Lonchura striata: one gene and its partner. The protein of the gene in region 1 interacts with the protein of each later gene in a biochemical or structural test. Links are inferred from orthologs where the notes say so. Each region holds a gene or a part of one and is shown on either strand. Other genes may lie near its edges.

Region 1 (3,917 bases):
ACTGCTCTTTGCTTAGTAGGTGAATTTGTTATGTTTGATGTTCAGTTGAAAACTGCATTTCCTTCTCAATTAATAGAAGCTTTGCAATAAAATTCAGCCATTTACCCACTACAACTTCAATAAGTGTTTAGTGTGTAGTTACACACTAAATTTAGCTGGACTATAAAAATAGCTAGGTTATTTGTTGAATATTTATAAATGGTGTGAAACATCACAGAGCTATTCTGTCAATTTCTGTCTGGAAAAGTCTCACTAATAAACTCTATCTGCCATAAACCTCTGAGGCTTTCTATTTCAGAATAGGAAAAGAAAAAAATTATATAATTATGGCAGACCTGTGGCCAGCCATCCTCCTCACCCAGCCACTTGTCACACAGGCACTGATTCATCCCACAAGAGAGGGAGCCAGCACTTCTCTGAAGAAAAACTAGGCAAATACGAGGATTTTAGCATACCTGCAGGATTTCATCACATTCCCTCTCTATCAGGCATGTGTTTATGTATGGCATGATTGCTACGGGATCAATTTCCAGCATTGTTGATTCTATCCGCTTCAACAGCTGCCTGTGCAGCTCCAGTTTTTCCAGTTTGCCAAAGTCCCAGTTTTCAATTGCTTCTGCCAGTCCAGTGTAACCTTTCAGGTAAAAAAAGACAAATCATTACTGTGAATTCAATCTCTAGCTAGAATAGGTAGGAACAAACTGAAAAAACATTTTCTCAGCCACACTGGAGAAATTAAAATTGTTTTGTCCTGTAAATGATAAAAATCTAGGTGAGGCACATACAATTTTTATCTAGTAAGTTACTATTTTCCTTTTTAGAACTTGTATGGCCTAATATGAAAAACCTATGCTGAAAGACCAGTAGCACCTGCAAAAACAAGACAGAGCCACACTATGTCACAGGTCATATCATCACATCACCAAGAAACTATATCCACTTCTGTCTTTCAATCATACAATCCTTGTAATTCTTGCATTCCATGATACTCTTTCACAGGATTCCCAGAGCAAAGAACACTACACAGAATCACAAGATGCTCTGGTGGTCTTTTATTTACCTGCATTTTATCCTTCACTCTTGTCCTTGGCTCCACCCTCCTTCAAAAATCCCTACTGTACTGGATTCAAGACAGTCACTGACTGAAAGCAGTACAGACACCTGCAATCTAGACAGTCATCAAACAGCTGCAAATACGGTCCTGGAACAGACAGCAGCAGGGAAGCATATTTTAAGGACTTGTGTGATTTGCTAAGTAGGCTTCTGAAGTGGAAAAAAGCAGATCAGGGTCCCAAAGGAACTTGTGGGCAAAAAGAAGGAATTTGCCTAACTTCTTATTTCCTTTTAGAAGAGCAGGAGTGGTGTAGATACTTACCACCATAATGTCTTTAGTCTAAGTATTACTTATCCCTGCATCTGCCAAAAAGAAGAGTAATTCTAAATTTTAGTCTCCGGCCCAATTAACAACTACTTGGGATAGCACTTTGAATCAGCAGGCTAACTGTCTTAACTTTTTGCTGAACACTGAACATTACTAGCAGGCTCAAAGTAGATAGTTCTTCAATTCAGAAATCAGGATTATCACAGACTGGTAAAATGTTGCTCTGGACTTAGGACTTGCTTTAAGGGATGAGTGGGCCACATCCCATATTGTAATATTTTTTCACTGAGATAATTATTCATAATTAATGGTGAGAAAATTAAAATAAAAGTGGGGCTCAATGTATCTAATAAATCACCAAAAAGGATATATGATACAATATACTCATATAGAAGAAAGCTGGAAGATGCTGCTAATTTAATACCTTCACAATCTGTTCTCTTCCATTTAATAAAAGAAGTTGGATTAGGAATTTACACATGAAGTAGTTATAACTACTATGGAACAATTATCCTTATAAACTACTAATGGTTACTTCTTGAAATAGAAGACTTTCAATGCCAATAAGTAACTTTTAAAATTTTTTAAAAAGTCATTTAAGACTCTCGTTGAGTGAAGTTATCCCACGATTCCAGTCAATTCCCACACACCTGAAACCCATTTGCCTTTCTGCTTCAGAGGATTTAGCCTCCTTTCACTGTATTCGGTGAGAACAATAGCCGTCTTGTTTCTTCTCTAAAGGCTCAGAGACAGGCAAGTCTCCTGCCAATGAGGCTTTCTCCATCCTCAGAATTATTAAAGCTGCTTCACCTCCCAACAGGCTTGTTTCCAGACTCTGTCAGCTTGCCTTTTCCTACGGCATCTGAGCTGATGTGACTGGACGTGCGGCTGCACCGAGGGCGGCCGGAGCGGCCCCGCCGGTGCCGGGAGCGCCGGGCGGCTCCGCGCAGCCCCGCCGAACGCGGGCGGCAGTGCCGGACAGGGGCGGCGGACAAAACCCCACCTGCTGCAGCCAGAGCATCCTGGAAGCCCCGGAACCAGCCCTCCGCCTCCAGCAGCAGCACGGCATCCAGGAACAGCGCGGCGGCCGCCGTCACTCCCTTCTCCTCCTCCTTCCGGACCCTCTCCTTCACCTCTGCAAGAACCAGCAGAGGCAGTGAGGGCAGCGGGAGGGGGCGGGGGGCGGGCTGGGGGCAGCGCCGCTGCCGCTCTCACCATCGGACAGCCACTCCGTCATGTTGCTGAGGATGTACACGGGGTTCAGGCTCCTCTCGATGTAGCGCCTGTAGCACCGCAGGTTCTGCTTCTCCTCCGCCGTCATGGCGAGGCCGCGGGCGCACCGCCGCCGGCGGTCCCGGTGGCGGTCCCGATCCCGGTCCCGGTCCCGGTCCCGGTCCCGGTCCCGGTCCCGGTGCCGGTCCCGGTCCCGGTGCCGGTGCCGGTCCCGGTCCCGGTGCCGGTGCCGCGGCCCCTGCTGCGTGCGGAGCCCGCCCCTGCCGTGGTGCAGAGAGACCTGGTAGGGAGTGAGTGGGAGCCGCCCCCAAGCACGGAGCGACGGGAAAAAGAAACTTCACCGCGGCTGGAGAATAGAAACTGAAAGCAGCTGGGAAAATGGGCGCTGCTTTCCTCTTGCGTCTGTCTTTAGCAAAAGAAAAAGGGGACTGCTGCCCTCACCCCAACTAATCATATGAGCATGCACACAGTTGTGACCAGCCCGTTTCTGCGGCTGCCAGGGTGAGAAAAAGCATACCGAAGAAACAGGAGTAAATGCACAGGTCTACCTCCTCTTCCCTCTTGCCCCCAGAAAAAGCTGAACGAACGGGCTTCCATCCTGTTTTGTTTCGCTTTGTTTTTTGGTGGGTTTGTTTTTTTTTTTTTTCTTTTGTGGTGGTGTGTTTGGGTTTTTTGTTTTTGTTGGTTTGGCTTTTTTTTTCTTAAGATAGAAGCACTTTTAAAAGCATTTAGAAAATGGATCAGGCAGGTGAACATCAAAGGAGAAGGCTTACCAAAGGAACAATCCTGTTGCAGGGGAGAAAGCACCCACAGTCAAAGTGCTGCTAAACATGACAGCTCCACATGCAAGCGTCCCTTTCACCATGTGCTGAGTGGATGTGTCATACACAAATAGACAACTGACAAGTACTGGTCCAGCACAAGATCATGCTTCCCAAAGTCTGCCAACACAAGACCTCTGAGTCATGGGCTTGTAGTGGACAGATGGGGTAGCAGGGGCAGAAGGAGGGGTGAGATAAGTAGAAGATAATTTGTTCACTGTAATATGCTTGCTTGTCTTAGTTTGCATAAGAATGTACTGTGGTATGTTAACCTAATTTGTTTTGCATAAAATAGTGGCTAAGAATGTACTAGTGTATCTTTGAAATGCTTATTTGCTTACAAGGTGATAAAGAAGTTGAGATTAAAGTCCTGGGCATGTGTATATCTGGTCTGCTTGCTGTATCTCAAAAGAAGAGACTTAGAAGCTATCACAACGACCAGACTCAGACTACATTTGGAGAGTCACGTCTGCAAGGAGAAA
Region 2 (3,917 bases), on another chromosome or scaffold:
AGCTGCAGCTTTTGGCCACACAAGGACAGGGCTGTTTTCAACAGAGTGGGATGAATGTTTCTTACAGCACTACATTTCTGGCACAATAAAAAACCAAGCCAAGTTTAAGTTGTAGAGGATACTGTAATGGGATCACTCCTGTAATGAAATCACACAGACTCTTCTAGCTCCTTGCTTTCAACAGTCTCTACTGTTTGGTGTTTATGTGACTGGCAAATCCAACATCTAATGATTTTTTTCCAAAGCACAACTCCACATGGTGCCCCAGTGAATACATTGAGAGTAAAGGATGAACATGCATTGATCTGCCTCACCCAGGAACAGATGGAGCTTAATGAGCTTGATTATACTGAACGTTGAAAGGCAAAAACAAGTTTTAAAAGTATTTCTTCAGTGACTTGCTTGCAAATGCTCCATGAATGAGGACTGGTGTTCGGTGTTGGAGGGGAGCCTTCTCATCAGGTACCACTGTGTGCAGGAACTGATGGAGATTGCACTGGCTGACACAGAGCACTGAGTGTTCCATGCCTCAAGACAAAGTCTAAGATCTGGTTCTACCAAGCAGCAAGTCATTCACACATTTAATTCTTCTTTACAGATAGCCTCATTTTGCAAATCAAGAGGAAGTCTTGCAGACCAAGTTTCTGGTGAGGCTTCCACCTTCTGCTGACAATTGCCAGCTGGTCTTGAGATACTGTAAATAGTTCTTTTTTTGCAGAAATGAGAAGTGCCAATATTTGCAGGAATTAGTGACACTAATCCTTCTTTCTCTCCACCCCCACTCGCCCAGTAGTGCAAAGCAATTGAGGTGGTTCATTATTCTGCCTTTCTCAGCTAGCTCATCATCCAGCTCTGAGCAATGTGCAGCAGTTTTTTGTGTTGATATGCTCCCATGAACTTCCTGTGTTCCAGGCTGTGTCCCCACACAACCCCGTTCATTCTAGCTGACATGGTGGTTCAGCAATTTCTATTAAACAGCCTAATCCTGCAGCTCCTGAAATCAACAGAGAGCAGCTTTTGACTTGTATGATGAACAATGCCGGTCTTCATTGTTAATTGTTATTTTGAGATTACCTGAGTAGCTGGGGATGACCTCAGAAGGGTTTGGTCCCCCCAGTAGCCTGGACTTCAGTCAGACAAGGTCTGCACTGTGCTGTGCCGTGGCACTGTTCTTCCGGCTGGGTCAGCAGACTGCCCATGTCAGCAACTTTCACTATTACAAAATCGGGAAAGTCACGGAGGAAATGAAATTGTGCAGATAACGGGGACTTTTTTTGGACAGTCAACGAAAGTGAAGGCCAGGCCCTTGAGAGTTGTGCGTCAAAGTCCATTTCCACCCGCACTCCAAACCGTGCGACCAAGGCACGTGAAAGGAGCGGGGCAGAGCAGAGCAGGGCGGGCAGAGCCGGGGCGCTCTCGGCAGCGGAGGAGGGGCCCGGGGAAATCGGAACTGCGCGGCCGCCGCGCTCCGGGCGGGCCATGGGCGCCGTCATCGAGCTCGAGAGGCTGCAGCGCGTCCTGGAGCTGCACTGCTCCTGCTGCCTGCAGCTCTTCGCGGAGCCCGTGCGGCTCACGGGCTGCGGCCACAGCTTCTGCCGGGGCTGCATCCTCCGGTACTGCGCGGGGCGGCGCCGCGCCGCCTGCCCGCTCTGCCGCTGCGCCTTCGAGCCGCAGCACCTGCGGCCCAACCGCGAGCTGGCCGCGCTGCTCGGCCTCATCCCGCGGGAGCTGAGGGACACCTTGGAAGCGCAGGAGGAGCCGCGAGCCTATGGAGCTGCTGCCTGCAACGACCTGAGCTCGGCGGGGCGGGGACGTGGGGAGAAGGTACGGCCGGAGGCAGCCCGGGGCTCCCCGACACCCGGGAGCTTCACCGCCCGACATCCTGGGGCTGCTCCGCGACACCCCGGGGGCATTCCGAGTTCGCATCCCCCGGCTCCCGGGGACTCCTGCCCGCGACATTCTGGGACAGCCCGGGTTTCCGTCCCATGGCACAGAACTCATGGAGCAGATGGGTTCGGCTGACAGTGCTGGGGCTCCTTGGTGGTGTCTGACACAATTAGGAGAGCTAATACCTGTACGCGTTCAGCTGATGCACAATAGTAGTAAGTGACTTCTTTTGTGCTGGGTGTTACTTACTGCATCAACATTGCGTTGGAGACTGCTGAAAGGACACGACAGTGCTACAGCTCCACCCAGCTTTATGGCGCGAAATGGGAAAGGTTCATGATCTATATCTCTGCTTAAAACGACTCCCAGAGGAGGAGATGAGAAAAACGTGTTGACCTTAATTGTTTTAGCACATATATATCTTTTTCAGTCAAGCTAAGAGCATATTAAAGCTCACAGTTACAGCTGAACATATAAGTAATTGGTGACTGTTGATGTTGACTTAATTGTGATTATCCTAGTCAGAATTGTGTCTTTCAGACGATTCCTCAAACATCGATTGCTTAACTAATGTAAGTCATGTAGGGAATTTTTATTGTCCTGCAGCTTAGCCTAGTCATGCTTTCTCTGAGGTTTTTATAGATAAATAGTTCCATGTGTCACTTTAAAGGAGGAAGAGATATGGGAGAGCTCCAAGCAACAAGAAATAACTGCAGAGACCATCCACCTGTTGAGGAAAGATCTCAACAGAACAAAGGTACACACTGTACATTCATCACCTACAGTAATTTTCTCTTTCCACTGTTATGGGCTGAAGATGTTGACTGCAGGGTTGCCTTCCAGCTCACAGCTGGAATCCATCCGCCTTTTTGTTTCCTTCTTTTCTGTCATAATCCTGTTTTTGCTGATGAGAATGAATATATGCCATCAGCTGCATTATTTGTGTCTTGGCTGGCACAAAAGCCACTGGAGTTGTGCATTGTTGCATTTTTCTGTTTCTCCCAGGAGTAGCCTGAATTATTCTGGTACACTTAGATGCAAATTACAAATAATAATAAGAGGGAATATTGAACTTTCTGAGTTGTCAAGCAGAGTCCACTGGCCATAAAATAGTCACGATCCAAATGCCCCAAATCTCATTGTATGTAATGCAGGATAGTATCAAATATATTTCATTCCTTTGAATAAAGTTTTTTGGTCTGCAGGGGTCACTCAAAGAGCACATTAGATGGGACAGTAATTATCATATTTCGTGCATCTTTCCTAACCACACAATGAACTCCATATTTTCTGTCTTTCAGGAATATACATCTCAGATCAAATGCCAGATTACTAAAGATTTCTGTTGCATGAAGGAATATGTTGAAAGACAGGAGAGAAACACACTGATGTTCATTGAACAACAGCAAAAAGCTGCTCAACAGAAAATTGAAGAGACTATTCACCAGCTCACAGACATCAAAGCCCAAACTGTAAGTGATGAAGTGCAGAATATGAGTAGAAACTCAGGCTCACTGGGATAGCTGAATACGTACAGAGCACCTTTGAGGTCCTCACTGCACCATTCTCATAGAGACAATGGTGCCAGTCCATGGACATTGCTGTCAGCAGGGAGAGTTTGGAGTGAGAAATTCAGAGGGGAAAAAAGTACTGAAAGAGGCACAGGCTGGGAATAGAATTCAGAACTAGATTTTTTCCAAGGATATTGGTGAGCTGGAATGAAGTGGGAGTGCAGTGCTGAAAGCCAGTACTCAGTCAAATCTGAAGTCAAGATCTTTCATTATCTTTTTATTTTCCACACAGTTATGCAAGTTTAAAAACTCATAGAGTTATTAAATATTTTGTAACCGTTTTCTTGAGGAAAACACATCAAGGACCTCAAAAGATGAAGTTAAAGTACTTCAGATTGTGTAGAGCCTATTTGGATGTTGAAAACAACAGTGCCAAGTGATGCAAGTTAACCAGCAGGAATTTGGAGTGGGGCTTACTGGGTGGGGCAGTGCCATGAGACAGAATTGAACTTCCAGGAT

The links.
Region 2: of the proteins of RIGI (region 1) and RNF135, one has a biochemical effect on the other in vitro, tested with the Homo sapiens proteins (6 studies listed by BioGRID, with this or other methods). The link is inferred for Lonchura striata from reciprocal best matches to the Homo sapiens genes RIGI and RNF135.

Annotation. Positions count from the first base shown.
Region 1 is NC_134642.1:47,535,607-47,539,523, reverse strand, and holds the start of RIGI (antiviral innate immune response receptor RIG-I), read right to left. Parts: upstream 2,890-3,917; 5' UTR 2,703-2,889; coding exon 2,597-2,702; intron 2,517-2,596; coding exon 2,385-2,516; intron 635-2,384; coding exon 456-634; intron 1-455.
Region 2 is NC_134621.1:8,121,943-8,125,859, forward strand, and holds the start of RNF135 (E3 ubiquitin-protein ligase RNF135), read left to right. Parts: upstream 1-1,363; 5' UTR 1,364-1,479; coding exon 1,480-1,824; intron 1,825-2,557; coding exon 2,558-2,644; intron 2,645-3,188; coding exon 3,189-3,359; intron 3,360-3,917.